3 linked regions of the Elephas maximus indicus genome follow. The protein of the gene in region 1 interacts with the protein of each later gene in a pairwise test. Links are inferred from orthologs where the notes say so. Each region holds a gene or a part of one and is shown on either strand. Other genes may lie near its edges.

Region 1 (10,548 bases):
AATAAATGTCCTACCACGCGCCAGTACCATGCTAGGCAGGCGGTGGGTGATACATGTAATTATTTAGGATTAGCCAGTTACCACATATTTCCCTGAACTAAATGCATTAAAACAAAAGTTACCATAGAGTCGATTCCTACTCATGGCGATCCCATGTGTTCCAGAGCAAAACTGTGCCCCACAGGGTTTCCACAGCTGTGACCTTGAAAGTAGATCACCAGGCCTTTCTTCCTAGGTGTCTCTGGACAGATCTGAACCACCAACCAGTTGGTTAGTAGCCAAACAGTTAAAAACCCTGTCTTAAACATTAAGGGACTGTCCCTCACTTTATCTATCATCTCTAAAGAAGAGTACTTCTTTTAAGTTAAGAAATCAATAGCAACCTCTGAAATAGATTCTTCATCTGTTTTAGGATCTCAATCCTATTAAAAGCTGTTAAAAATAGCACCTCCATCTTTCTCTCACTTTTCTTCCCTTCTGCTCTCCTCCACATGAAAAGGTTAAGTGATGATATCCAGTCCAAAGAACAATGGACAATGCATACACAAAGCTCCCTCCTTCAACTTCCAACAGCAGCAAGAAAGTCAAACACGGATTTAAGAAAAAGAAGACACACACCATTATTCCTGTCAAGTGTATAAACAGGGCACTTACTCTAGTCCACAAACTCAGCAAAATCTGAAGAATCAAACTTGTAATGAAAAGAAGCCTTTTTTCTAAGTAGTAAGTGAAAGAAGTACAGCCAGAGCCCTCCTTGTAAACAAAGATGGCGAGACTTCATCTCACATACTTTGGACATGTTATCAGAAGGGACCAGTTCCCGGAGAAGGACATCATGCTTGGTAAGGTAGAAGGGTCAGTGAACAAGAAGAAAACCCTCAATGGCATGGACTGACACGGTGGCTGGAACAATGGGCTCAAGCATAACAATGACTGTGAGGACAGCGCAGGTCTAGGCAGTATTTAGTTCTGTTGTACACAGGGTCACTATGAGTGACTGACTTGATGGCACCTAATAACAACAAGTAAAAGAACCTGGGAATTAGTTTAACTCTAAAATAAGATCACAGATACTGTCAAATAAGTTTTTATTTTTCAGAAATGGGTTTTTCATAACCATCATAAAGGTTCTGCATGAGGAAACAAGTCAATCTGAAAGAAGAAAGCAATGGTCTGTGGCATATCATTTTCTCTGAAAGTTAGTAGGCAAAACGTAAATACAAAAAGATCACCTCAGGAGGAGTGTTTTTGTTTGTGTGTGTTTTTTATTTTTTCAGTCCAATCTCAGTTAAAACTGGGCTTAATGCTTAAGGATCTTCTTAAACCTTTTGATATGAGATACTTTGCACACTCAAACACTGAACTGTTTCCTTTATGATTTATTTCCTCACCTCCAATAATCATCCAAATAATGCTTTGTTGAAGAAGAACTGACACATTTGAATTAGGGTATTGGCAAAGATATACTGTGGCCTATAGAAGAATGAACAAATCTGTCTTGGAAGAAGTATAACCAGAACACTCCTTAGAAGTCTGGATAGTAAGAACCTCTCATGTACTTTGGACATGTTTTTAGGAGGCACTGATCTGTCTTGGAAGAAGCAAGGATGCTCTTTAGAAGCAAGGATGGCAAGACTGCGTCTCACATACTTTGGACACGTTGTCAGGAAGGATCTGTCCCTGGAGAAGGACATCATGCTTGGTAAAGTAGAGCATCAGTGAAAGAAAGGAAGACCCTCAATGAGATGGACTGACACAGTAGCTGCAACAACGGGCTCAAGCACAACGACTGTGAGGATGGTGCAGGACCACAGGATCAGTTGTATGAGGGGTCACTATGAGCTGGAAATGAGTCCATGGCACCTAACAACAACATTGCTTTGTTATTTTTTATGGGAATGTTACACCACACTTGTCATTTTTTTAAAAAAGCAAAGTTAAGGTAACAAAATAATGATTTTTTAAAACAAGCTAACCTAGTGTGGGGGGCGTGACAGGTAAAACACGACAGAATGTCAAGTTTGGGATCCATTATTTTGACACCAAACTGATAGTAAGCTGGCAAAGAAATTAACCTACTTTTTGGGTAAACTGGAGCCCCACAAACATTCATCTAAACCCTGGTGGCGTAGTGTTTAAGTGCTACGGCTGCTAACCAAAGGGTCGGCAGTTCAAATCCACCAGGCCCTCCTTGGAAACTCTATGGGGCAGTTCTACTCTGTCCCATAGGGTCGCTATGAGTCGGAATCGACTCAATGGCACTGGGTTTGGCGGTTTTTGGTTTATCTAGAGGTTAATCTGAATAATTAACCAGTGTTTCAATATTGTTTTCACTAAGTGTTTTGGTAGGTTTGGCACCTCAAAGATAGCTTTGATGCAATTTGTACATTTAAAACACACTTAGTGCAAAAAGAAATTAATAAAATGATCAGAACCACTTGATTTTCTCTTTAGGAACTAAGTATCCAAAATTAGCTTTGAATAGTAGGGGTAATGTTGCTCTTTCCTACTCGGCAATTATCCTCAATAATTTTGGCTTTAATTTGGGCATAGCGCTGTATTTTACAAGACAAGCTACAAATTAACCAGTTATTTAACTTAGAAAATAATCTTTCAGTCACATTAGGCAACTCTCTTAACCTACAGGGCACTTTACATTTTACAGCATGCTTTTTATCAGATAATACGCTTAATGGTAGTGGGTGGATACCGTCCCTCTATCACAAACAGACGAAGTTAGTGCCATCACCAAAAGAACAACAAAACAGAATTTGAACTCGGAATTTTTGACTCTGGTGAGCGCTCCACCTACAAGGTCAAGTTTTAACTGCAGTGATGATCCTCCCTCAGGAGAGCCATACAGCTTTAGGGGAAACATATTCTTCATGTAAACTAAAATAAGCCCAAGTACACTTAACAACACTACAAAGCCAGTCATTGTCCAACATTCCTTTATCAGGAAAGCATCCACAGTCTTTCTTAGTACAGCCTAAAGTGTAATTCCTAGAAGGCACTGGCAAATCTCTGCCAGGCCAGCCTGCAGTAGAAAACCCGTGCATGTGTCCAACAAGATGACAGGAGGGCCAGTGTTTTTAACTCTGCTTCAACTCAGCCTTGCAATAGCGGTTCTGGCTCACACGGTAAACATAGTAATTGCATAGGATTTGACACAGCCAATGTAAATGCCGATTCCCTTGACCACAGACATGCAGCTCTGGGGAAATATAATTTCTGGAACAATACATGGTACTTGCATAATTGCACAAACGCACAAATCATTTTTTAAAATAATGTTCAGTCTCAGCTCTGCGCTGACACTTTTCCCACCTAAACTTCTCAGTACAAGCCTGGCCTAAAAGCACACTAGGGACCCAATCCATGCACGGGGTAAAAGCAGCATGCACCCACGATCTGAGCCGAACGGTGGGACAATGCCTGCCCAGTCCTGTTCTGGCCGGGTTGCGATGGAGTTTACTCCCGTCTACTTTATGGTAATGTTCTTTTAAAACCCCGCCGCGACCGAGGTCATAGCTTTAGGGATCTAATAACAACCAAATGACCAAGGCTGCCAGGCACTTAGTGAGCCATTCTGGTTATAGCTCTTTAATAGTACCTGGAGTTCTGCTGGAGGGAAAGCGGAAAACTCCTGCTTCCCCGGAAAGAAGTCCCTTACGGGGAGAGCAGAGTGAAGCAAAGACACCGACCGCGGGCAGACGCCCCGCCGCCGCGGCCCCATCTCCCCGGCAGCCCCAGTGCGACCCTCGCCCCGCAGCCCGGCTGGCCCCGGCCGCACCTTTACCTGTCAGTCCCACCATCCCCTCTATGCTGCTGCCCCGCGGCCCCGACGGCCGCCTCTCCGAGTCCCGGGCACAGCTTTTCAGCTGGCTGCAGGAGAAAGAACCCCAAAGGCATCCTATCCCAAAGAAAGAAAAGCAAAGAGGCTGCTCCTCCAGGCGGAGGGACATGGGGCACGTCGGAAGCTGAGAGGCGACATGCCACCCCTGTCCCGCACCTACCAGATAATCCATGTACAGAAACGCCTCAGTTATTCGGAGATCAGACATCCGGCAGTCTAAAGCATCCGGAACGGCTCCGAACCCGGAAAAAAAAAGGAGCGTCTCTGGCTGCGAGCAAGCAGCCCCTGAAAAGCCAGCAACAGCGAAAATAGCCGAGAGCAGCCGAGAAGACGAAGATTACACAAGGGGCGCGGCGATTGGCCGGTCGCGCGAGAAGAAGGAAAGGCTAGTGCTGATTGGCTGCGGGGCCTATAAAAGGCAGGCCAGTGCGGGGGGCTGGAGAGAAGCGCGGGAGAGGCGACGCTGCTTGTCTCGGTTCGGAGGGTGCAGGGCAGGCGTAGGGCGGCGCAAGCCGAAGAGCCAGTCGGGAAGAGCGGAAAATCGGCAGGTGCTGCCACCGCCGGAGTTGTGTGTGCTTCTGTAGCCTCCTGGTTAGATAAAGCGTAGCAGAGCTCTGTGCTCCTGTACCAGGGAATCTTGGAGTCCCTTCCAGCCCTCCCCAGTAGGAAGCAAGCGTTGCAATGTGGGAGGCGAGGTAGCCACAGACACTTAATGTCTCTTTTGGCAGCGCTTTCTTAAAGGCTCTGCCGTCGCGAAACGGGTACTGCCGGGACGAGAAGTGTGGAAGAGCGTACTTCGTGAACAGGCAAAACTGTACGGGATTCGGGACCCGGAAGACTCCGCCTCACCTTCGTCTTGTGAAACTGCTAAGGCGGACAACTGCTGCCTGATGTCCCTGGGCGTGCACACGCGACACACACAGGAGGCGCCCTCTTATCTGAACTCCAGACTGCCGCCTGCCTGAGAACTCTGTCCACCATGTGAAAGAAAAAAAGTTTAGGGATTCACTGTTGTCAGTTGTAATTCTCAAACACTTGGGAAGAAGAACTCATCAGTTTTTGGCAAGCTTTAAGTCCAGTTACACTGAGCACAAATACAACGCCTCTGAATAAAAGGAGCAATAGAAAAAGAAGCTCTCCGAAAAGATCCGAGTAAAGTAACACTTGTGACCCCATGTCATTTTAAAAGGTAAAAAAAATATGTATGGAGAGATGCACTTGAGACTTGTGCGTTTCTTTAATAACTGGGAAACTGGCATTGGGATTTCACTAATGCTTTGAGCTGAATCAAGTAAGAAGCTGAATAAGAACACTGGGGCTTCAGTATATGAACAACTACACTATACCAGACAACATGCAACATAACAGAGTGAGGTGATTACAGTGACCCTAAGGCGTTAAGGAGAATGGAGGAGAAGGGGATTGCTCTCATCTGTATTATAATTAGAGCTTCCATACAATAACGTTTCAAGAATGAAACATCAACTAAAACCTTTCTGAAGTGATCGCCTGATTGTTTAAATGTTGTTTTACCCACAGCCATCCAGTGGATTCCAATTCATAGTAACCCCATTGAGCTTCTAAGGCTGTAAATCTCTATGGAAGCAGATTGCTATATCTTTCTCCTGCATAGCGCTTGGTGGTTTCCAACCAACGACCTTTAGCTTAGCGGTGGATCACTTTAACCACTGTGCTACCAGGGCTCCTGACACCTTCCCTTTTTGTATCCCCAGGTAATGAATTTCCAGAGAATAGGTTTGTCTGGGGCTGCCAAAGCCATTCTACTTTTAAGTAGCAGTGGAATTTGCCTAACCATGCAGATAAACCAGGGAGAGTGCAGCCCCTTAGAAAGAGCACAAGGTTGATGAGCCACCTGACTTTTGAGTATGTTATCTAATCTCTCTGAACCTCTTTCCTCAACTGAAAAATGAGAATTCCTACCCCCAGGGTATTTTTGAAGGAACTAGAAGACTGAATATACACAGCACAGAGCTTGGTGTAGAGTGGCTTTATGCCTATCAAGATTACTTTGTTGATTCAATTTACAGATAAGGATGTGTGTATAAATAAAATACTTCTGAAGAAATTCTAAAAGATCTTTCCCCCTATGCAGGCACTAACTAGATTTAATTTTCATTAAGCCGTGAGACCAAATTTTGATTTTTCTTGGCATTCTGTTGTTAAACACGTGCAGGTTTAGAAGAGGTTGTGACCTGGATTCTGGAAATCATGGATTTCCATAAACCCACAGACTTCAGGATGGTACAAATGGTTAAGAGCTGGACTGCTGTATGACAGGTTGACAGTTCAAACCTACCCAGAGGTGTCTCTGGAGAAAGGCCTGGCGAGCTGCTTGCAAAAGCCTTGAAAACCCTACGGAGCAGTTCTACTCTGCACACATGGGGTCGCCACGAGTCAGAGTCCGTCTGCAACTAATAACAACACAGCCTTCAGTACAGTTGGTTGAAGCTACTGTAATTGCAAAAGTTGTTCTCTCATACTTGATAGCAAAAAATAATTCAAACAGAAAAGGAAATTGTTTTTCCTTCTCCTTTCCATGAATAAAACATATTGTTAGTAAGATAAAGGGGGCAAGCTAGCAAAGAGACACCTTTTGGTCTGTTGCCTTAGTGATGAATGATGTCTTGACTACTGCCAAGTCAGAATTTTGAGAGGCCTGTCAGTTTATGCAGGGGAAGATAACCATTCAGGGGAAGCTGGCTTCTGCCTTTGCTTCAAAAACTGACCTTAAAGAAAGACAGTCCTTCTAAACAGAATGTCATTAGGTGTCTTAGTCACCTAGTGCTGCCATAACAGAAATAGCGCAAGTGGATGGCTTTAACAAAGAGAAATTTATTTTGGTAGGTTACAAGTCCAAACTCTGGGTGACGGCTCCTGGGAAGGCTTTCTTTGTCAGCTCTGGAGGAAGGTCTTTCTCATCCATCTTCCCCTGGACTGGGAGCTTTTCTGCTCAGGAACCCTGGGTCTAAAAAATGTACTCTGCTCCCAGTGCTTCTTTCTTGGTGGTATGATGTCCTCAACTCTGCTTGCTTCCCTCTCCTTTTATCTCTTGAGAAATAAAAGGTGGTGCAGGCACACCCCAGGGAAGCTCCCTTTACCTTGGATCAGGGAGGTGACTTGAGTAAGGGTGGTGTTACAATCCCACCCTGATCCTCTCAAAATAAAATTACAATCACAAAATGGAGGACAACCATACAATACTGGAAATCATGCCCTAACCAACTTGATACACACACATTTTTGGGGGGACATAATTCAATCCATGACATTAAGCTGCACATTGTTCATTCTGCCTCAGAAATTAATAAATGGGCCCAAAACAGGGAAATGAAATAGTTTGTGCAAGGAAAATTCCAGAGTCTACTCCACTGTTTTTCCCTTATTCTATACCATTTTTATGTTCATTATGACTGACATCAAGGAAATTTTTGTGTTTGATGTAACTATTAAAAGAATTATAGATTGCATTTTGGAAGTGTCCTTGTAAAAAATCTGTAGTTTCAAAACTGCATATGGAGCACATTTTCCAGTTAGGTGTTAATCTTCTGGGCTGTTAATGTTTTTACCCTTGTGCAGAGGAAAGAGGCTAACTTGATTGTGTTGGCATGAACAGATGATACACTGCACGCTGTGTGAAGCAGCTGTCTTAGCTGATCTGTTGGTAGCTACAGCAGCCTGGTAATCACTCTAGTGTAGACTTTAAAAAAAAAGAGAGTGTACGGTGGTTAGAGTACATTCATTCAACCTACTAAATGCCAAGTAATGGACTGTCATCTTGAATAAGGCTTGATCTCATTTACCTCGACCTGCCCTTGCCTGGTGCCAAAGAAAATGTGTGTAAATTCATGGGGCAATTGCATTATTAAGCCTCTACTGACAGAAAAGCAGTGGTTGCACATGAGGTCCATTAGCCAGGTGAGTCTCCCACACGGAAGGTAAGAATTGTACCACTGAACCATCACTGCCCCCAGTCTTTCTTTGCCTCTCTTTTATAAGGACACTTGTTACATTTAGGCCCGTAGAGAAAAGCCAAAATCATCTCTTTCCCCATGCCAAGATGCACAGCTTAATCACATCTGCAGAGTCACCTCGCCATACAACACTTGATGCCCTAGGGATTGGGCCATCTACGTATTTGGGAGCCGTTGTTCAGCTACCACACTGATCTTATCATGATATGCAGATAAAGCACATACCTCCCTGAAAGTCCAAAGTGGCAAGCACACTATGAATACCTAAAGAATCAGAAAAGTGGGGATAAACTCTCGATCTTAGAAAGAATTAGATTTCTTAAAAATTTTTAATGCAGTCCCAGGACCCTTTGTAACCCTCTTTATACAATCCAGTTACTTCTCTTCTGACAGGTGAGTAGGATTATCGTCCCAAAGTGTGTCATCTCCCTCTATTGTACTTTTGGTCTCCACTTCTTTTGAGCACTGTTATGGATTGAATTATGTCCCTCCAAAATATGTGTTGTTAATATGACTGTGGTTATAATCCCATTTGAGAATGAGTTGTCTTTGTTATACGAGGGTAAGCCAAAAAGCATTACTACAAAATCATAGAAAACTTTATTGAACAAAAATATCAAAATGTGAAGCTATTGTTTCTCAGCATATCCTCCATCTAGGTCTATACACTTCTGAAGGTGAAGTTTCCATCTCTCTAACCCTTCCCGGAAGAATTCTGCATGTGACTATTTACCATGTCAAAACAGCAGTTTTGGCATCCTCAAAGGACTCAAATCGTGTTCCTTTTAAATGTTCTTTGAGTTTTGAAAACAAAAAAGAAGGCTGAAGGAGCAAGATCAGGGCTGTAGGGTGGACAGGGTAAGGTTTCCCAATGAAATTCTCATAGGACAGTCCTTGCTACCCTTGAAGAATGAGGCGGTGCATTGTCCTGATGGAAAAAAAGCCCTCAGTGCAAACTTCCTGGCCTTTTTCTCACCAATGCAGTTTTCAGTGTTCTTAAAACTTCTTCATAGTAAGTCTCTACGATTGTCCTGTGTCCTTTGTAATCCCAAAAAACAGTCGCCATAAACTTCTGAGCAGTCTTCCCTCTCTTGACTCATCTTTGAGGTCTTCCCAACCTTCCTTAAAATGCTTGATCCATCTAAAAACTTTAATGTGGGCCAGCATACCCATAAACTTGTTGCAAAGCTTCAATGATTTGAAGAGATGTCCACCTGAGTTTTGTTAAAAATTTGATAATAGCCTTGACCTCAAAATCGTTTTTTCCCATGACACAAAAAGTATCCTTTTTTTTTTTTTCTGAAGTCACCCTGACGAGACTAAGACAAGTATATTACTGAGAAAACTTGTCTGCAACCATCCACTGATCACGGAGACATGTTTAAACATGTTTTGTTTGGAATAAACCCATGCATGTATGAACTGGAATGCTAGTAACAATACTTTTTACTTACCCTCGTATTAATGAGGCAAGATTAGTGTAGGGTGTACCTTGAGTCAGTCTCTTCTGAGATATAAGAAAGACTAAACAAGTGAGCAGAGGAGAGATGGGCTTAAGATAGATTCCAAGACACATGGAGGTGTCCAAGGAACCAGGAAGCAGGAGCTAAAGTGACAAGGACTTTCCTCTAGAGCTGACAGAGAGAGAAAGCCTTTACCTAGGGCTGGCACCCTGAATTCAGACTTCTAGCCTCCTAAACTGTAAGAAAATGAATTTCTGTATGCTAAAACCACTCATTTGTGGTGTTTTTGTTATAGCAGCACTAGATAACACAAGACAATCACAGCCAAGGTTTTAACTTTTTTTGAGACCCTCTCCTCTCATTTCCTTTACTTCTTTGCCCATAGCTAAAGTTACTACTTCATAACAATTTTTTTCTAGACCAACTGGTTTAAATATGAATATTATTTCCTTCCTTCAACATTTAACTGTGGATTTCTTATAAACAAACAAACAAAAAAAAAACTATATACACACACACAAACTCATTGTCATCAAGTCAATTCCGACTCATAGTGACCCTATAGGACGGAACAGAACTGCCCCATAGGGTTTCCAAGGAGCAGCTGGTGGATTCAAACTGTCAACCTTTTGGTTAGCAGCCAAGCTCTTAACCACTGAGCAACCAGGACTCCGATTTCCTTATAAAGAATTTTATTTACCTGCGTATTATAGTCTGATTAGTTCTTCACTCTCCACAAATTCTTGAACTCCATTAATAACCTTTTTTTTCTATTCCAAGCTAAACATAGAAAGATAAAATCTCCAAAAATATTTTGATTGTACAGTGCTTTATTGTGGTTTTGAACCTTCTCTGGGATGAAACATCTGAATTGCTTTATCCTGCATGACAGGGAATACCATGCCAAATTTTTTAGAAGTATTTAACCAAGATTCTAAGCCCTATTTGATAACCAGTTTACAAAAAATCAGCAAAGTAAACGAGAAGAATCAGCTATGTATCTTCAATGGATTATAAAATACATATTTCTTTGATGGTGATTTATTTCAAAAAATGAAAAAATTACCATTTGGAATATAAAGGTGCTTTGGAGACTGAGATGTATCACATACAGTGTCATATTGCAAGGCCAATTTTGATTTTTAATAATCAAATCTTAAAAACCAGTTCATGCTGGATTCAAAGTCAGTTTTAATGAGATAGCTTATAACATACCCTTAGTTCCTCTGAACTAACA
Region 2 (10,926 bases), on another chromosome or scaffold:
CCCAATGGCCCACCCAGCCCATTCACCTGAGGCTGGGGGCTTCTTGATTTCAAAGAGGACAGTGCCTGAGTCCATGTCCCGAATCTTGAACCTGACGAAGTCGATCTTGTAGATATTCTCCTCAGGGGAGCACAGGTAGTCTAGGGGAGGCAGGCGACTGAGCAAGGAAGGAGCCTGCCCAGAAGCCCCTCCTGCCAGCTCAGCTTCTGGGGGACCCCTGACTAGCTACCACTTTCTCTCACCCCTAGGGGTATTGCCTTTCAGGAGGGAATTAAGACCCTGCCCTGGGGAAACCCCCGACTCAGTGTGGGAGAGATATGAGTCTGCCACTGGGATCTTATGGGGAACCAACAGTCCCATCCTAGTGGCCTTTGGGGGTCAGGGAGGGGCCGGGCAGAGATGGGTAGAGGACACAGCCACTTTCCCCACATCTTCCCTCCCATCCTGGTGTTGAAGATCCTTACTCCAGCCTCTGCCCTGCCAGGGCTGGCTGGGGGGCTTTGGGCCAAATGGGTCTCAATCTGATGTGGATCCCCCAGCACAAATGGGAAGACACAGACCTGCCTTGGGAACCTCACTCTGAAGGGGTGACACAGTTCTGCCTTGGGAGAGAGACAGTCCTTCTCTGGAGGACCCCCCAGCCCCACTCATGGCTGCCCCTCGCACTACATGTGGATGTGTCAGGCAAGGGCTGATCTTGAGGGAACTTTCCCTGATGTGGGTGGTTCTGGGGCAGATGAACAACCCTTTCCCTGGTCCTCTTCACTCCCCCAGTCCCCGCCTCTCCCCATAAGCAGCTTATGCAAGCCCAGCTCCCTTAAGCAGCTTAGCCAAAGCTCTGCTGACTCAGGCCCAGAGCCTGGGATATTGGGGGAAAGGGGGCCAACTTTGCTCCCATTCTCTGTTGACCTCCAAATAGGAGGAAGTCTTATCAAACAGAGGGAACCCCCCTTGAAGATCATCTATGCAGCCTTGGCTCTGAGCCAGTCCCCGTAGAGAAGAGTACTCCCCCACCCCATAGCTAGGCCAGGAAGTGGGCGTGGCAGGTGTGGTGAGGAGTGTGGATGAGGGTAAGGGGAGTTCTCAGGTCCAGAAAGGGAACCAAGAGCTGTGGTTGGGCCCTGCTGAAGAATTCTGGGAATAGGCCAGTCCTGCCCTGACCATCACTGCTCTTGCAGCAGCAACTGGAAGCGCTTGGAGAGGCCCTGGCAACAAATAGGGAGAGGCAGAGAGGTGCAGTGGGGGGCGCAGTGAGTTCAGCCCGCACAGCACCACATCCTCCCCTAGAGGCCCGGAAATCACCCCCCAGGCCCCTGGGCCACCTCCTATTCCTCTGGGGCAGGAAGAGGAAGTGAATATAAAGTCATTCTCTCTTTCCCAGCCTGCCTCTTCCCCAAGCCTGGGGTAGCTCCCTCCAGGAAGCCCTCCTGGCAGCCATCTGTCACCTTGGGGCCCAGCAGGGACTACACAAGGCTTGAGGAGGGGCCTGAGCCCTGGCCTGTCCACCACAGCCCAGGAGGAGAAAGGAAGGGAATAGCAGTGGGCAGTCCCTATCCCCAGCCTGTGCACACCTTGTCATCACAGAAAGCACTAGCCCAAAGATGTAGAAAGAAGGCACCGGGCAGAGGGAGAGGAGGTAGCAAAGCTGAGAACTGGATCCTAGTCACCCAGCTCCCAGCCCCTGGTAAGGCCCTCTCTTCTTCCCCACTCTCCAGCTTCTGGGGCCTCTCCTCTCACTTGTAACAACTTCTTGCAGTCTGACTCAGTCTCTCCGACTGCAAACTCAACCTATCAACCCCTTCATCCTTACAGGAAGTGAGGAGCGGGGGATGCCCATAGCTGAGAACAGCGCAGCCACTCCCTCCCTTCTGCCAGGGAAGGATGAGGCCTGGCACTCAGGGTCAGGCTAGAACAAGAGGGAAGCGGGGCTCAGAGCACAACTCCTCTCTTCGCTTCAGCCACAAATAGTTTCCTAAGCTGGATTCAGGGCCCGATAATCCAGGAACAGCAAGCCTCAGACCTGTGTGATTAGGGTCAGAAGGGACCAGGCAGGGAGTGCCAGGGCAGACAGCCCTGGAACCCTGTTTTCAATTCTGCAGAGGGGAGAGCTCCCATGAATCCCTTCCCCTACTTACAGATGCCCTGTCTCTATGGGCTATGAATTTCCTTCACAAGAGGAGACGCACGGTACATGGGACGTGGATTGGGAGCTCCCTGTAGTTACAAAGAACTCAGGCAGGCCAAACAGGTCAGCATGAGCTCCTGACATTCTGTGAAGAAGTTCTGCCCCAGAAATAAGCTGAACCCTAAATGCTGCTGTTGCCAACTACAGCCCAATTGGCATCAACATCAACCTGGTTCAGACCCCCTCCCTCCACCAGTGCCCGCTTGAGCAAGGGAGCTCAGCCCTCCAGGGGCCCAGCCAAGAATGGCTGCTGCCTGGCTCAGAGAGGAGGGAAGAGCTGGACCCCCAGAGACCTAGCTGCACAGGCCCAGGCCCGTCATCATGGTCCCCTCCACAGCTCTGTCTGGGAGCCTTAGGCTCTGCTGTTTCTGCAGCTCCAGGGCTCAGGTCCCCATGCCTGTTCCCCACCCCCATAGAAAGAGCCCCAACCGTTGCTGTCGCAGAGGGAGCCAGAGCAGGCAGCTGATGAATGAAGCCAAGGTGGAGAGCTACTGCCTCCCCAAATGCCTCTCGTTCTTCCAGACTCTGCCACGTCCTCCTTCATGAAGTCCCCTAGCCCTTGTCCCTTGCCCATGGTGACCTCCTGAATGCCTGAATGCCCAGTTTGCCTCCAGCCATGAACAGCCTGTGTGGTACCCTCAGTACTGTTGACAAAAGAGCCCTATTTACAAAGCAGTGTGTCAGGCACTGTGTAAAGTCAGAAGGTTAATTTTATCTTCGCAATAACCCTATGAGGTAGATGTTATTAAACCCATCTTACAGATGAAGAAATATGCTCAGAGAGGTGAGGTTACTTGTCCAAGGTCACACAGCCAACTATGTGACAAAGCTGGGACTCAAATCCAGCCAGTTTGGCTCAGAAACTCTTAACCACAGTGGAGAATAGGTCTCCATTGATTGGAGTCCTGCAGCACTGAAGGAGTACAGATCCTGGCCCAGGCTCGCCAGCATTAACCCACTCCTGTCAGGACCCAGAGCCAACCCATTGAGGCTTCCCATTCAGTTTCTTTTCCGGGGTGGGGGATGGCCCCAGTCTTCCTGGGGGGGGTCCAGGGTGACAGCATTAATGGTCAGGAAGACCTCAGTAGTCTTGAGTCCACCTAAGCAGCTCAGTCTCCACCTAGCCTCCAGGGGCAGGGGCTGAGGACAGGCTACACTCACTCCACTCCTCATCAGTGCAGAGCCAGGCCTCAAGGGGCTTTGAGGACTCCGCGGGGAAGGGGCCATAGTTGCAGCTGCTGCCCGACCTTCACCATGGGAAAGGGAATGAACCCGTCCCCCAAAATAATATACCTCAAAAGGGAGAGGAGGGGTACCCAGGGAGATCAAAGAAAGGGGGGCCATGGAGACCTCAGGCTTGGACGCAGGAGGGAGGGAAGCAAACGTAGAAGAGGGGGCCAAGAAGGGGGAGGGAATGCGGGGAGAGAGCCGGGAAGGGGGGCGGGGGCCGGGCCCCGCGCAACGAGAGGGTCCCCCTTCTCGCTCTTGCTCCCTGCAGCCGGCGGGCAGCGCTCCTCGCCGGTGCTCACCGCCCGTGATCCGCTGTAGTCCCAGCACGTCCTCCGGCCCGATCGGCTGCTTCCTCCGCAGTGGCCCCGGCCTGGGCCCCGGGTCTGCCTCCGGCTCCGACTCGGACCCGGATTCGGATTCCGCTTGCGACTTCGGCTCAGGTTTGGGCTCCACGCTCGGGCCTGAGGCCCCTAGAGCGGGCTCCGCCCCCGTCCCGGCCCCGTCGCCGCCCTTCTTCACCTTCATGGCCTCGCCTGCTGCCGCCGCCGCCGCCGCCGCTGCCTGAGCCAGCTGGAGCCGGGAGAAGGGTGAGCGGCCGCAGCCCCGCCCCGGCCGGGGCCCCAGGTACCGCTCCGCCCCGGCCCCCCGGCCCTTCCTCTGGGCTGGGTCCGGCACTGACTCCGCCCACGCGCAGGGCCCACCGGGGTCGGGAGTCTGGGGACCGCCCACCAGGGCTCTCATCCCCGCTAGGGTGAGGGCTGGCCCTGGGCTTCATTCATTTTCTGGAAGGTAATTCAGGGAGGTACTGCCTACCTCTCCTTCCACGCTGCGCTCCAGTCCCTGTGCCCTTCTCACTGCCCTTACAGTCCTCAAGCGAACTCCAGCCTTGGAGTCTTTGCCCAGGGTGTTCTCCCCCTATATGACCTCTTCTTGTCCTTTTGGTCTCACCTTAAATGTCAAAGGCCATACCTCACATCCAAACTAAAGTACACCCCCCTCGCCCCCAATCATTAACCAATTAGTTCATTTTTTTCTAATACATAACTGAAACTATTTTTATTTGCTCAGTCTCTTCCCCCTCAAAGACCAGCTAAGCCAAAGCGGACTGTTTTGTTCCCTATTATGGCCCCAGCACCTAGCAGAAGCCCACTGAGGCCTGTGCTCAATAACTTTTCCTTTGTTGAATGAGCTAGTACCTGAGGGCTTTCACTGGTATAAGCTATTCTCTCAGTTCCCTGCTAAAAAGCAGACGTAGCTGCTAACAGCCTTGTTGGGCAACCCAGGACACCCAGACGGACAACGGCCCAGGTGTCGGGCCACCAGAGCCCTACAAGACAGAGGGGCAGGAAGGGCACATGGCCAGATAGAGGCAAGGTGGACCTGTGAGCCCAGGAAGATAGATGCCAGAAAACGATTACTTACACGTAAATGAAGAATTAAAAGTATAGCCATACTTCATATCATTTCAATTCATATTCAACCAATGTTTATTGAGAGCCTAGTAGATGCCAGACACTTTCACATGATTTATCACATCTAATCTGCACAACAACCTTGTTAAGGGAGGTGTCATTAGTGCCATTTTAACAAATGAGGGAGCTCACTAGATGATAAATGCAGAAGCAAGGAATTCAGGCCTTTTTGATTTCAACTCTGGAACTTTCTCCACTGTACCATACCGCCCAAGCCTCTGCCACACACAGCACCAAGTCCTGAGCTGCTGCCTTCTGGACTCCTGTCTGTCTGGCTGTACCCAACAGGCGCAGCAAGCCAGGAAGGAGAGGCGTAAGGGAGGAGCCCCCGAGTGACCTGTGCCTGGGCCCCTTCCAGCAAAGCAGTGCTGGGGCTCTCCCTGAGGGGTTAGAGAAAACTGTGCAGGGTGGAAGGATCCAACCAGGGCTTTCCCTCATGCTGCCTTCTCGGTAACAAGAGGAGTGTGCTATGTTGAGAAACAGGGTAGAAGTACAAGCTGTCCTTGCCCCAGCTGGAGGTAGTCAGGTATCTTCAAGTTCAGGTCAGATAAGGAGACCGAGGTGATGCTACTATGACACTCCGGAGAGTATGAGGAGTGGGGAGGCAGGGAGACCTGAGCCCGGGGAATGGAAAGGGAAGATGAATCCATCTTGGAGTATTGCACTTCGGTTGCTGGAAAGGCAACAGAGGCTGGAAACAGGTCATTCGCAGCAGGCCCGATTTATGTGCCTCTCAATCTAACACCTCCCATCCTGGCCTGAAAAGAAGGGCTCCTACTGAGATTCTGCCCTGCTCAGTCTATCTTCTCAGGCTTCTTCCAGGACTTGCGGGTCTCCAGAAAGATCTTGAACAGGGATAGGAGGATGGGCACGGCCATAGGCAGGAAGAGTGGGATGTAGATGGCAAACTTCTGGTCATCAGGAAAATACAGGAGGTGGAGGAGTGAGGGGTCAAAAAAGGCACGTTCTGAGGACGTCACAGCTTCCTGGCTGGCAAGGAAGGCAGAGGCCAGGTGTCCAGTGGCCAACTCCTCTGCTGCCTTCTGGACTGCAGCTACTGCCCTGTAAACCTAGGAAGGAGAGAGAGGGTTAAAATAAGTCCTAGGCATGGTGGGGAAGGGGCTGGCCTTTAACCTGCCTTTGGCCTACCAGGGAGTTTGCCTGGAGTTCACCCAGGATAAATGGAGGTCAGTATAAAAGGGCTATGTGTGTATTTCTTAGGGTCTGCTTGAAACCTCTCATTCCCATTTGGACTCCTGAGGCTGGCACTGCCCTCTAGAGGAAGCCTGGGGCACTCAAGGATGGCATGCTCACACACACCCTGGACCTCAGATGGCTCTCTCCGGTTGCACCATATACTTTGGCCCTCACTGACCTCTCCAGTTCTAGGCCACAGAATCCGTCCCTGCCCACGTACCTCAGATGCCACATCATCCTTGATGACAATGTTGCTGATCTTGCCCAGAAGCTGGGCCAGGGACGTGAGGGTGGTCATAGCCGTGGCCAGGTTCTCCACTGACCGAGCCCAGAGCAGCCGGTCCAGCTCCCAGCTCATTAGCCCTTCACTCTTAGGCCCCGAAAACAGGCATTTGGGAGGCAGGTGGGGCTGAGCAATCCCAAAGAGCAGTCTGTAGGAACAGCCAAGTAAGATCAAGGTGGCTGAGACCAGAAGGTGGGAGAAGATGGCTAAGATTCCTGGATTATCTGCCCTAAGTCAATGACTTCAATCTTACCCTGAACCATAGGGGTTGTGGGGAAGTGTCTCAGAGTCTTGAAGAGTGAGCAACACCACCAAGCAATCCAGAGCCCCAAACCCTGCTTTCCCCAGAGTGTTTCCACTTTCACCTGTTTCTATATTGGCCATCCAAGACCTTGTTTGAAGAAAGCTTCCAGGGCTAAAAAACTTCTGATAACACCAACTGAGTTTAACCCCCTCACCCTTCCTTACCCTCTCTTTGGACAAATGGGGCCACTGGGACTTAAGAGTTAAGGGATGATCCAGGACCATCTTTAACAAAAAGGTATGTGTGCTATGCCTCTCGTCCTATACCCATGCCAGACATTGCTAATCAATCAGAAGAATACTCTTTTTCTGATGCGGCCAGACACACAGGACTTCAGGCAGCCACTCTCATAATCAATCAATTAGTACAATGAATTAATAGCTGTTTTCTTAAGCACAACTAATCATGCCTCATGGACCTGACATTCATGTCTACCTTTCTTAAATTGGGTTTTGCAAGCAACCAGACCTACTTAGAAAAAGGATGAAGCAATTCTTGGAAAGCTTTCTTGGCTTCCTGGTGGCTCTAGGCATAGCCCAGGTATCCCTGGCAAGGGAGATTTCATTCTGATTGCAATCCCCCTCTAGAGCCAAGGAGACTGTGGTCAGTCTCTCAGTGGCCATGCCCTCCGAATGGAACACCCAGGGCCTCACCGCAGCTGAGCCAGGAACACCTCCATCACTTGTACCATGTCCACCTCGACTTTCACCGGCAGCCCCGAGGCATTGTAGGCTGTGGGGTCAACGTTGTATACCTGAAAGGGGGAAGGAGATCACCATAACACTACATCAGGACTATGCACAGCTCTTCCCTAGGCACTCTGGAGGTCATGAGAGAAAATGAAAACACAGTCTCTGTTCTTTGGAAGCTATAAAACTGATGGCATAGCTAATACTTTTTGAGTAAGTGCTTGGTTGCTAAGCAAAAATGGCATCCCACTGGCAGCTTCGAGGGAGAAAAACCTGGCAATCTGCTCCCATAAAGATTTATAGCCTAGGAAACCTCATGGGACAGTTCTACTCTGTTCTATAGGGTCGCTATGAGTCAGAATCAACTTGACAGCATACAACAACTACTATTAGGAATTTACATAAAGTACCTCAATTATTCCCTCAAACGTCCTGTCAAATACATTTTTTAAATCTTATTTTATAGTTCTAAGCTATGAGAAACTCCCAGGCTAAAAGGGAGGCAAAGCTCCTAACCTTGCAAGACTCCCACAAATAGGGCCAGGACCTAAGATGTTCACAGAATAGTCCTAAATAAGTGCAAACTGCCAAGTGCAAAAGGGTCATATTGGCCATCAATCAGCACTGGCAAACACAAGAGAGTGGTGCTGGCAGAGGGAGGACAGGAGCACACAGCACCCTTGCCTCCTTGGTGCCTGCCTCTCCCGCAGACTAGGCCACAGAGGACACCTGAGGCAACAGAAAGAACGGTCTCAGGGATCATCTGTCTATCCCTGAAGCTTGGGCACTGGGGTCTGCAGTGTGATTGTTACCATAATGCCTCCCCAGCGGGGACTGTGGAAGGCGTTGGTGGCGACTGGAGTCCCATCCTTGTCCTGAATGTAGAGCGGGGAGTGGGCAAGCTCAGGCACGTACAGTAGAAAGTTGAGCACAGGGTAGAGGGAAGCAGCGCTGGACCCTGTGGGACAGAGAGAAGAGCAGATCGAACACCAAACACACCAGACCAAGATCTTAGCTCCAAGCCAGCCTCTAACTCACTGGTCACCCACCCTGGGCCTCAGTTTCCCCAACTAATACTCTCTGGGATATCCTCCAGTCTTGGGTTTCTGTGGTGTAGGACCTCTCAGTATTTTCCCAAGATGTGCCAGATGGATGGAGTGTGGTCCTAAGTCCCAAAATGCCCCTGGAATCTTCTTTAAGAGACCCCCTTTGCTCTCTTGGCCACTGCCACACTGTACCCACATTATTATACCTAGTTTTAAGCACAGGTATGAATCTGATCTCAAGTCAGTTCTCTGCTTAATTTTTTTTAAAGTCTACCCATTAATATCAAACTCCATAATGTGGTCCTTATTGAACAGTCTGGTATTTGCTGCTTGCCTTGCCAGCATCATCATTTCAGCCACGCTAAACTACTCTGTGCTCACTGAATGCCTATGCTGTCTGACTCGTCTGCATCTAAGCTCATAGCTCCCTTGACCTGCAACATCCTTCTATGGAGAAGGAACTTGCTAAGTGCTGCCCCTCACATACCCCTGGTCCACAATGGCCTGCCTCTGGTGCCAGAAATTCCACAATCAGTGATATACCCACTTTGGTTTGCCTGCATGACAATTCTTGGTCACACCTACCCTTCCTAGGCTCTACCCCAAAAATGAAAAACTGTAATCCTGGCTTCAAGGTTCCTCAACCTCAATCAGCAGAGCCGTCAATTCAAATTCAGTCTCCATGTACTTTTGCTGTTGTCTGTCTTTCCTACCCATTAGCTCATCTTTCCTACCCATTAGCCCGTCTTTCCTAGATGGCTTTCAGGGATGGAGACCCAGCATATCTATCTACAAAAAGTGCTGGGAATCATGTTTAATAAATGCTTCTGGATATGAGGGATGGAGATATCAACAGAGCATTACGAAAAAGGGGCCTTAATCCCAGCACTTCCCCACCCCTCAGAGCAACCCAGCCTGGAAACCATCACTATATACAACCCTCTTCCAACCCCAGGCTAGGCCCTGAGTCCCTCCCTGGCCTGGCAGAAGAGCCCTCAAATCAGCTCACCCAGCCTCGACTCCACAGGATTGATGACATGGGGGAGGCTGTGAGCAGCCAGGTAGTAACTGGAGGAAGCTGGGTCAAAGCGGGGGTTGACTCCCAACACTGCATAGTAAAGGATCTGTGGAGCAAATGGGGGGGGGGGATTATTTTGTTTATTGAATTATATTCTACTTTGTCCCTCCCAAAAAAAAAGATTTGAGGTGGCTTAAAAAGATAAAATTAGTACCAGGCATAATATAAAAAACAATCATAGGGCTGAGAGAAAATAACTGTAGGGAAAACAAACAATGAAGCCACGGGTAAAGTTAATATACACTAGATATACCCTTTGAAAACCAAGTATTTCACCAAGCTTCCTACCAGCCTAATCAAAGAGGGAAACAAAGAGCAACATATCCCAATGTTCATAAGATAAAATCAAGCCAGTTATTCAGGTCTCCCACTACCAAGACCTGATAAAAATTTCTCCCACAGGTTTTCACTAAAAGGACACTGTATGATATAAACAGCAACATTCTTTGCAGTATCTTTATTGTAGCTTCATTAACATATTTCAGGAAGTTTTTTTAAAAATAACATTCCTGAAGGATGGCTGATGGCATAACACCAAGACACAAGTGGCAAAAAGAGTTCTAGAGAGAGCCATCCGGAAGCTGGCTAGTTAACAAGCACTCACGGGACTCCCGCAAGTTGGGCATCAAGAAGGGAAAGTAAAGACACTAGAAGCTGCCCTCAAGACACAGACACAGTCACCCACACAGACCAGTGTCTCCCCTCATGATGCTGACACACACAGGAAATTTCTAGCAAATCAGCAAGCTCCAAGAGATGGAGGTATAGGCTGTACTTATAAACACTAAATATGTAGGGACTTTGAAAAAAATGGTGCAACCAGGAGGAAAACTCCTCACCTTGCTCCCCAGTCTCACCTGAGAGTCCACAGAGAAGTTGCCGGCAGCACTGAGGGCATTCAGGAAGCGCTGCACATAGCGCTGGACAGCCCCCTCAATGTCCCAGTGGACGTCATGGGACTTGGGGTCTGGGTTGAGTAAACTGAAGGTGATCTCATAGCCTATAGAACAGGAGTCAAGGAAATCAGAAGGCTCCTGGGGATCAAGGAACAGAGGTAGACTATACCCCTGGCTGAGGTGAACTTGTTTTTCTCTTGACTGGGGCTGGTTGCCACCAGGGACCCAAAGGGAGGATAAAACTAGTGCTTTAAGAAAAAGTTGAGACTGGAGAATAAAGGAGTAAGGGTTTTGTGTGTGAATTCCCCTCTGTCTCACTGCCACCACATGATTTATTCCCTCTCCCTTCCCATGGTGAAGCCCAGTCACCCTACCCAAGCTGGACTTGAGAGGCCGCCTCTTCTCAGAGCTCCACTTGTCCTCTGGAAGGCGGTCAGCCAGGGCACCAGCTAGCACATCCTCAGTCAAAGACATGGCCTGGGCTACTTGGATTATGCGGCGGCCAATGATGTTAAAGGCCTCCCGGTGCATCAGGCCCCGTACAAC
Region 3 (10,212 bases), on another chromosome or scaffold:
CTAAAAGCAGCTAACATTACTTACTATGTGCCAGGCACTGTATTCAGTTTTTTATATGCAATCTTGCTTAATTCTCATAACAACCCTCTGAGGTTGTCTTTCATCTTACAGATATGGAAACTCAAGCTCAAAGAGACTGGGTGCTCTGCGCAGGATCACAATGGTGGAGGCAGGTAGTCTGAACCCACCACCCATGCTCGTAACTACTATGCTGTACTGTAGTTTTATGTCAACTTTTGATAGATACTAGTTACTCTTCATAAAGGCTAAACACACACACACACACAGAGTGAGAGTGACCCTTTCTCCCAAAAGTTGCACTGTATATTATTAATCTTTTAAATTTTTGTCAATTAATTGGGAGAAAAGGAATAACTTGTTTTAGTAAGGTTGAGCATCCCTTTATTTATTGGTCATCTGTATTTTTCTTCTGTGAACTGTTTGTATCTTTTGTCCATTTTGAGTTCATTATCTTATTGATTTGCAGGAAGTGATTTATGTTTTGGATATTATATAAATATCTGGAATATAGATAAAGACATGGGGGAAAATTAGCTAACTATTAAAAAAAGTTAGATCACTACTTCATATTATACAAATAAAACAAATTCCAGATGAATTAAAGAAAATGAAACCATAAAAGCATAATTCTTTCTTAAGCCTATCTGTCAGTTTCTTGATACTAATTTGTAAAAGTTATATATTTATGTTCAGGAAAAAGTAATTTGAATAGTAAATAGGCAACACAGTGCTGTATAAGAGGACTGTGACAAATGCGTCACTCTAACTATCCCTGAAAATTATGAACATGTCAAATGTATTAAGTAAAAAAAGCAAGTTATAAAATAATATTTATGATTCCATATTTATAAAAGCAAATATATTATATATTAGCTATATTAAGACATTAAAATGTTAACAACGGTTATTACTGGGTGGCTGGAATTTGTATTAGAAATATTAAACACTGTTTTTAAAAATGCATTGCATTTGAAGATATCCCTCCCAAAATGACATAAAAATGGTTAAACTAGAAGGAGGGGACAGTGACCAAATGACTTTTGTATCCTTCAAGTACACAGTGTCCTGTACATAATCATCACCCAACAGATAACTGCTGAATGTAATGATATGAAGAAAGGAGGATACAAACATCAATCTCTATATCAGCTACTTAAGATAATCAAATCCAAAACCTTTGCAGGAAAATCACATTTCATTTATAACTTTAATTTACAATTTAGGAAATGTTATGCTTTTAACAAACAAGAAAGAAATATAGGACTTTTAACGTGTACAAGCTGGGGTGGGGTGAAGGCGATATAAGAAAGAAATCTTAAAAATGATGTATTTTTGAAATAACTTAGGCAAGTATAAAAGCTTATACTGAATTCTCTCAGACACAAAGACAATATCTGATTAAGACACTGTTATTCATACTTTTTGAGTATCTACTATGGGCATATAGGCAAGGCTCTGTGTGAATAATAGAGACATAAACGCTTATAAAGACCTTACAATATGACTTTAAACACACACTTTGCTCATACTGTTAACTATACTAAAACATATAATAAAACTGTAATAATTAAGCCAATGTGTACGGGCACAGGAAGAGACAAATGGATCAATGAAACAAAAATAATCCAAAAATAAAACCATGCCTACGGCTGCTAACCAAAAGGTCAGCAGTTCAAATCCACCAGGTGTTCCTTGGAAACTCTATGAGGCAGTTCTGCTCTGTCCTATAGGGTTGTTATGAATCAGAATCGACTGGATGGCAAGGGGTTTGGTTTGGTTTTTGGTTTTATGGAAATTTAGTATATGATAAAGATGGCATTTCAAAGCTGTGGGCAGACAATGGACTAATTACTTAGCAAACAGTATTGGACAATTGGCTATCTAAACAGCAGAAAAAGTTAGATTTTTACCATGTACCACACATACAAAGACATTGCAAACAGATTAAAGAGCTAATTAAAAAGAGAAGAAAACATAAGAGCATATTTCATTAATACTGGGATAAGGAAGGTTGTCTTAAACAAGACACAAAAATGCAGAAGCCATATGGAAAATATTGATAAATCTGACAACAACTTAAAAATTTTGTTCAACAATAACAAAAAAGAGACAAACAATACACTGAGAGAAGATATTTGTACCACCACCTAACAGGCAAAGGATTAATACTAAAACGTATAAAGAACACCTATGAAGCGATAAGAAAAATAAACAATTCAATAGTAAAATGGGCAAAAACAATACCAATAAGCAGTCAACAGAAGAAAAAGAAATGATCAAACAGATTTGCAACTTTTATAGTAATAATAACAACAATGGCACATATTGCCTACTACGCACCAAGTACTTTTCTAAAAGGTTTAGACACCAACTCATTTCATGTTCATAGCAACCCTATGAGGTGGGTACTATTATTTATCCTCATTTTCAGTTGACGAAATTGAGGCAGAGGTTATAAAAGTTGCTCAGGGACACATAACCAGGGGTGCAGGGCTGAGATTCCAATGCAGTGTATCTCTAGAGTAGTTCAGGCTCTTAAACCTTACTTAAATTACTTTCCCAGGGATCTAGAAATCCAGTGAAATATACTCTAAAACAAGGTATCATTTATTGTCCGAATTGGGGGAAAATAAAGACCGACAGAGTAGATATGGGAAAATGAGAACCACCAACACTGTTGCTGGGAGAATACAATGGAGCTTTTCTACTGTAGTAATAAAACTTACTAAAACATTAATTTTATTCTTTCTTGAAGGTACTACCAAATCCTAAAACCCCTTCTTTCTTTTTCTCTCTTAATCCTCAGATGCCAATAAAAGCTACCAAAGGATAAGTAAAGCATCACTCCCATGCTAACATTTTTATGTGGCTGTTTCCTTTGAGCTTCAGGATTTTGTCAGCACAGGTCAAACTTTCCCTGAAAGCCTTTTTCTAGACGCACTGATGTCATCACTGAATTGGTTAATCCACTTTTTCTTTTAGTGGCTGACACAGGTTCTGCTTTCTACTATTTTCCCATATTTGTCTCTCAGTCTCTTTCTCAACAGGTTCAAGGGCCAACACTGAAGGTGACAAGCTCAAACTTTCCCTTTCCACATTGTTCAGAAGTCATTAAAAAGACCCTTTCTTGTTTTCAGCATTAAGCTAATTCCAATCAGACAAAAGTATTGTTTCTGAGATCTGTCAACTTTCCATACCCTCTGGCTTACTGTCTACAACATACATGTTAAAGAACAATATAAATTACTTAAGGGAAAAACAAAACTCATGTCCGGGCTTTTCTAACACTACAGTCATCCTTATCTACTTACAGGCTTCATTAACAAGAGAAAGGTACATGGAGCATATAAGAAAAGGCTGTCACTAAACATCACTATGGAAAAGTAATAAAAATTTATCATGAACAGCAGCACGCAAAAGTGATACAGCATTCAATTAAAAAAAAAAGCATACTGGGTCCACTTCCATTTAAAAAATGTCATTTGTACATCCAAGACTTCCTGTACCTTTTTCTCATTTTGTGTCCTAAAAATTACTACCAACTTGTCTTCTGATGATGATCAAACAATTCAAATTTGCAGGGGTGAAATGGGCATTGAGAAAACACACCAGGCAGCTCAGAGACCAGTGCTCCATTAAACCTCCCAGGTGGGGGGAGCCCTGAAGTGATGACTACATTTTTCAATGAGAGAGAAATTTTACACTATTTCACATTGTATGGATTAGATGTAAGGACACTTTAAGGTCAGCAGGAAAACGTAAAATTGCCACATACAAGAATGCATTTTTTTCATCCGCATCATATAGTTACAGATTAATACTCCATGAAAACACAAAGCTTCTTTACTGCACGAAAGAGAGAAGGTGACGAAAGGGGTGTCACAACTGGCCTGTGGCAATGATTTCTATACCCTACTATAGCCTACGGTATCCCCAAAGTCATCAATTCATTGCTGGACAGCTCCACCATGCCTACGCATTTCGGAAACACAGGAGCAAGCCAAGATACCTTTGCTAGGAGTCCCAGGGCAAACCCCAAAGCACATCCAGTTATCTCACACACAGTTTAGGGTCCTCATTTTTTCTGGAAAGAAAACGGAAGAGTTGAGGGGAGAAGCAGTGGCCATCCAGCGCCTCAAAAGGCCAAGACAGAGTTAGATGAGGTCGATGTAGGACTTCTCCTGCCCCACCTTCCTCTCCTCCGGCCCTGGGAGAAGCCACAAGTGAGGAAGAGAAGTTGTGGAAACAAGGCGGGGGCGGGGAAGGGCAGGGGGCTCGGAGAGTGGAACACAAGCCTTCGCATTTGTCCCACACCAGGGCACTCGCTCCAAGTCACCTTCCGCGTCCCCCCGTGGGCTTCCCGCCAACGAGACTCCTGGGCTTCGAGGGGGCCCACCGCGCCCCCACCCGCTGCGGGTCGCGGCCCCTGTCCGACTTCGGGGTCCCGGCTGGAGCTCAGAACCCAGCGGGCCTTCCCGAAACCCGTTTCCGACGCCCGGAGCCTCCCCCGGCCCAATTCCCGGGGCTCCCGCGCCTCCACCCCCGGGCTCCCGTCAACGTCCCCTTCTTCCCTCAGGACGCCCCTCGGCCCGCCTCCAGCGCCGGTCCCCGCCGGGGTCCGGGACGCCGGTCCTGTGCTCGCCCCTCCCGCGCCCTTCTCCTCAGGTGCCCACCCGGCGCGGCCCCCGCGCGGCTGGTCTCCTCAGGGGGCGGCCGCCTCCCAGTCCTCCCGGCCCCGCCCCGCCCCGCTCCCGGGCGGATACAGTTTGAAGCCCCTCAGGATCTCCCTGGCCCGCTCGTCCTCGGTTGACATGATGCGGCGGCCGCCGCCCGCGGCTCTCACACGCTGGCCCGGCGGAGCCTCGGAGATGATGCCGAGGAGCCGAGGACGGAGCCGCAGCCCGGCCTGGAGACCTCGGGCGAGCAGCGGCAGCGGCCAGATCCGGACCGGCCTCTCTCTCCCCTCAGCTCCCGCTCCTTATCCCTTCTTCTTCCCCGTAGCCTCCGAGCGCCCGCCCCTCCGCCAATGGAAAGCCCGCCTCGGCGATTGGCATCCTGATCAACCAATAATGACATCCAGCGGCTTCGCAGGGGGATGGGGAGCGCCAGTGGGAAGAGCCCTCCCGGGGACGTCCCTTAGGACAAATATTTCACTTGGAGTTGTTGCCTGGAGTTTGTCCCAGGGGAATGTTGGCTTCAGAGACTCCAGGGGCCTGCTCTTGCCGCTGGGTACAGCAGGGCTTTGAGATGAAGGCAGGTTGCACTAAGCGATGCGGCTGAGACTACATTTCCCAGCATTCCAGGGGCACTGCCGGGAACCACAGATCCCGGCACGCAACAAAGAGGCCCAGGGACTACAGATCCCAGCATTCCCTGCACCCCGTTCGTCTGTATGTCCCTCTTAGGGTTTGCAAATTCATAAATTCGCCGTCAGGACTCTCTGGTTTCGGAATCGGAGACTGTAGACCGGGCAGGAAGACCCTCTTCCCCTTGAAATGAAAATGACAGCCCACAAAGAACTAACTTCTCTTTACATGAAACTCAGCATTCTCCTGCAAATCACGGTAAGGCTGCAAACAACAAACAAAAACACTGATTTAACCATGAGACTAACGAAATGACTCCTTCAAATTGTGCTTGTATGTTGGTCTGGGGCGCCTTTTACGTGGTTTGCAGGGGATTCTGGTGTGTTCATGCACTGGCCTGGGAAATATATGGATTGTAAACTCAGAATATCGATACAGTTAGTGACTTTAGAGAATTTGCTAATCTAACCCCTGTTGTTTTACATGTGAGGAAACTGAGGCCCAGAGAGGTGAAGACAATGGCCAGAGGTCATAGCAAGCTGGGACAGAGTTAGATTGGCCCTGAGTCCAGGGCCGCGTTAAGGCATATGAGGGCCCTGAATGCTGACAATCTGTGGTGCACCTTCCTCTGTTTACTCACACATTCTATCGGGATATGTGATTTATATCTATATATGATAGAGCCCTGGAGGCACAGTGATTAAAGCGCTGGGCTGTTAATCAAAAGTTTGGTGATTTGAACTCACCAGCCGCTCCTCAGGAGAAAGATGTGATACTCTGCAGATCTACTTTGTCCTGCAGAGTCGCTATAAGTCAGAATCCATTTGAGGGCAATGGGTATATATATATGTCCAAGCTGCACTGAAAGCATTGGCGAAAAACAAGACTCCCGGAATTGATGGAATACGAATTGAGATGTTTCAAGACACGGACGCAGCGCTGGAAGTGCTAATTCGTCTATGCCAAGAAATTTGTTTGACAGCTATTGGGCCAACCAACTGGAGGAGATCCATATTTGTACCCATTCCAAAGAAAGGTAATCAAACAGAATGTGGAAATTATCAAACAATATCATTAATATCACACTAAAGTAAAATTTTGCTGAAGATCATTCAAAAGCGGTTGCAGCAATACATGGACAGGGAACTGTCGGAAATTCAAGCCGGATTCAGAAGAGGGTGTAAAACAAGGGATATCATTGCTGATGTCAGGTGTATCTTGGCTGAAAGCAGAGAATACCAGAAAGATGTTTACCTGTGTTTTATTGACTATGCAAAGGCATTTGACTGTGTGGATCATAACAAATTATGGATAATATTGTGAAGAATGAGAATTCCAGAACACTTAATTGTGCTCGTGAGCAACCTGTACTTAGACCAAGAGGCAGTTGTTTGAACCAAACAAGGTGATACTGCATGGTTTAAAGCCAGAAAAAGTGTGCATCAGGGTTATATCCTTTCACCATGCTTATTCAATCTGTATGCTGAGCAAATAATCCAAGAAGCTGAACTATATGAAGGAGAGCAGGGAATCAGGATTGGAGGAAGATTCTTTAACAACCTGAGATATGCAGATGACACAACCTTGCTTGCTAAAAGTGAAGAAGACTTGAAGCACTTACTGATGAAGATCAAAGATTACAGCCTTCAGTATGGACTACACCTCAAAGAAAGCAAAAATCCTCACAGCTGGACCAATAAGCAACATCACAATAAACAGGGAAAAGATTGAAGTTGTCAAGGATTTCATTTTACTTGGATCCACAGTCAACACCCATGGAAGCAGCAGTCAGGAAATCAAAAGACGCTTTACATTGGGCAGATCTGCAAAAGATCTCTTCAAAGTGTTAAAAAGCAAAGATGTCACTTTAAGGACTAAGGTGCACCTGAACCACACCATGGTGTTTTCAATCATCTCATATGCATGTGAAATCTGGTCAGTGAATAAGGAAGACCAAAGAAGAATTGATGCCTTTGAATTATGGTGTTAGTAAAGAAATATTGAATATACCATGTACTGCCAGAAGGACAAATTTGTCTTGGAAGTAGTATAGTCATGATGCTCACTAGAAGCAAGGATGGCGAGACTTTGTCTCACATACTTTGGGAGTATTATCAGGAGGGACCAGTCACTGGAGAAGGACATCATGCTTGGTAGAATAGCACGTCAGTGAAAAAGAGGAAGACCTTCAACGAGATGGACTGACACAGTGGCTGCAACATTGGGCTCAAGCATAAAGATTGTGAGGATGGTGCAGGACTGGGGAGTGTTTTGTTCTGTTGTACATAGGGTTGCTGTCTTGGTTATCGAGTACTGGTTGTAACAGAAACACCACAAGTGGATGGCTTTAACAAAGAGAAATTTATTTTCTCACAGTCTAGTAAAAAAAAAAAAAAAATTTTTTTTTTTTTTAGTAGGCTACCTGTCCAAATTCAGGGCATCGGTTCCAGGGGAAGCCTCTCTCCCTGTCGGCTCTGGAGGAAGGCCCTTCTCATCAATCTTCCCCTGGACTAGGAGCTTCTCCATGCAGGAACCCTGGGTCCAAAGGCCACGTTCTGATCCTGGTGCTGCTTTCTTGGTGGTATGAGGTCCCCCATTCTCTGCTCAATTTCCTTTCCGTTTATCTCTTGAGAGATACAATGTGGTGCAGATCACACCCCAGGGGAACTCCCTTTACATGGATCAGGAATGTGACCTGGGTAAGGGTATTACACCCTATCCTAATCCTTTTTAACGTAATCTAATCATGCTTCATTAACCCCAGGCAGAGATTAGGATTTACAACGTATAGGAAAATTATATCAATCACAAAATGGAGGACAACCACACAATACTGGGAATCATGGCATAACCAAGTTAATATACATTTTTTGGGGACACAATTCAATCCATGACAGTTGCTGTGAGTTGGAACCGACTAGACGGCACTTAAAAATAACAATATCTGTGTGTGTGTCTTAGCTATCCATGATGTAATTTCTTTTTAAATGCGACTATAATATGGAGTGCAGAAGTGGCGTATGCCACTTTAATGGAATGAGATGAGCTGGATTATAAAATATTGAGTGGTTGTGGGGAACTAAGATTTATACTATATACCACATTTTCTACAAAAAGAATATGCCACGTACTTTACAACAAAGAAAATAAGTCAGTGAGCTTAGTTGTTTCAACAATCAATGTAAAATTCTGTTGATCTCCCACAATGAAAAATTGACTTATTAATTTTGCTTTAAATGCCTCATACTTCAATTCTGATGCTTGTTTTGTTATAAATGGTATAATTATAAATGAACAAATGAAAAGATGTCATAAAAGAAAATTTAACGATCAGAAAACATATTACAACAAATTATTTTATTTTTAGATAGATATTTCACCTCTAAAATGTTATAATTAGAAACATTTCTATTCTTTGCTCTTACAGATTCTTCAATGATTTCATCACAATTAAGCTGCTGAACAATATCTACTTCCATACATAATAAGAATAATGAATCGTGCCTTTCTTGAACCATTGTTGTATGCTGAGGGGTTTTGAGTCTCTTTAAGGATGAAAATGAGCATTCTGTTGTACAGTTTGGGATCATTAAAGTTAGGAATATGTGTAAAGAATTTTCAACATTGGCAAATATGCATTGTATTTTATCTTCTATTATGGAATCATACATGCCTACGTGAGTAAAATTTGTCTTTCCCGAATCTGTAAACTTAGTTCTCATGTAAGAATGAGATTGTCATGCTTCTCTGTAAAGGTTTGTATTTTAGTCATTGGGATAAGCCTGCATTAATTTCTTGGATGCCTCCATGCATTCTTCCTCAGGTATATCCATGTTGTTTAAGAAGAAAAATCTATTTGAAAGAACTTCCTATACTTTCACCCTTCTTTTCTTGCAAGATTCAAGTTTGTCAATGATGGTGTAGTGTGTGGTCACATGAAATTGATCTCTGGCACTCAACAATATTTTGGAACACTTCCATCATTTATTTGTTTCTTGCTAATGCTTCTGCAACAGTGAACTGCTTGATAATCAATATTCAGTAGGATTTGTTTTGTTGTGTTGTCAAAATTTTCTCTTAAATTACGTAAATTCCCTGTTAATGACTGGTAGAGAGCTGTGCATGTCTTCAAATTTACTTCTAAATCTTGGAGAGCTTGACTTGTCCAATGAAAATGATGCAATATATTAGTCCACATAACCAACATAAATACATACTCTAGCATTTGCATTTTATTGGCGATGTTTTCAGTTTCTCTTTTGGTACCTCCTTTTTGTGTCTGGTCTTCAGCAATATTTTCTAAGACATCTAGAATCTGAGTGTATGATTCCTAGGTCAATGAATCCAGGCTATGGGAGAAACAGCAGCATATATGGGATGCTAGTTTAGAGCATGTACAGCTTCCTGGAGAACATTGTCCCAACCCTGCAAGGTATTGCCACCTAGCTGGCACCGTAATTGTGTGTTTAGAAGGCCATTCAACCATTCTATCAAACCAGCTGCTTCAGGATGATGGGGGAACATTATAAGACCAGTGAATTCCATGAGCATGGGCCCACTGCAACACTTCATTAGCTGTGAAGTGAGTCCTTTGATCCAAGGCGATGTTTTGTGGGGTACCATGATAGTGGATAAGTTTTCTGTAAGTCACTGGTGGTAGTTTTGGCAGAAGCTTTACATGCAGGGAAGGCAAATTCATATCCAGAGTAAGTGTCTATTCCAATAAGAACGAAGCGCTGCCCTTTCCATGATGGAAGCGGCCCAATGTAATCAACCTGCCCCCAGATCACCAGGAGGAATGATGCCGCACCGAAGACTCAGTGTTGGTCTCTGCTACTGGCAAATTGGGTACTGTGGTGTGATGGATCTCTTTTGTGTGGCCTTT

The links.
Region 2: the proteins of ARL15 (region 1) and UNC119 interact in binary tests that used the Homo sapiens proteins (3 or more experiments, as listed by UniProt). The link is inferred for Elephas maximus indicus from reciprocal best matches to the Homo sapiens genes ARL15 and UNC119.
Region 3: the proteins of ARL15 (region 1) and PDE6D interact in binary tests that used the Homo sapiens proteins (3 or more experiments, as listed by UniProt). The link is inferred for Elephas maximus indicus from reciprocal best matches to the Homo sapiens genes ARL15 and PDE6D.

Annotation. Positions count from the first base shown.
Region 1 is NC_064820.1:57,615,990-57,626,537, forward strand, and holds the start of ARL15 (ADP-ribosylation factor-like protein 15), read right to left. Parts: upstream 4,176-10,548; 5' UTR 4,065-4,175; coding exon 4,017-4,064; intron 1-4,016.
Region 2 is NC_064837.1:23,331,967-23,342,892, reverse strand, and holds the start of UNC119 (protein unc-119 homolog A), read right to left. Parts: upstream 4,029-10,926; 5' UTR 3,941-4,028; coding exon 3,715-3,940; intron 141-3,714; coding exon 27-140; intron 1-26. Other genes in the region: PIGS (GPI transamidase component PIG-S), read right to left, coding at 5,682-5,957, 6,305-6,515, 7,325-7,425, 8,173-8,318, 9,416-9,530, 10,342-10,484, 10,755-10,926. UniProt on the Homo sapiens protein: Involved in synaptic functions in photoreceptor cells, the signal transduction in immune cells as a Src family kinase activator, endosome recycling, the uptake of bacteria and endocytosis, protein trafficking in sensory neurons and as lipid-binding chaperone with specificity for a diverse subset of myristoylated proteins.
Region 3 is NC_064824.1:134,083,089-134,093,300, forward strand, and holds the start of PDE6D (retinal rod rhodopsin-sensitive cGMP 3',5'-cyclic phosphodiesterase subunit delta), read right to left. Parts: upstream 5,025-10,212; 5' UTR 4,835-5,024; coding exon 4,785-4,834; intron 1-4,784. UniProt on the Homo sapiens protein: Promotes the release of prenylated target proteins from cellular membranes. Modulates the activity of prenylated or palmitoylated Ras family members by regulating their subcellular location.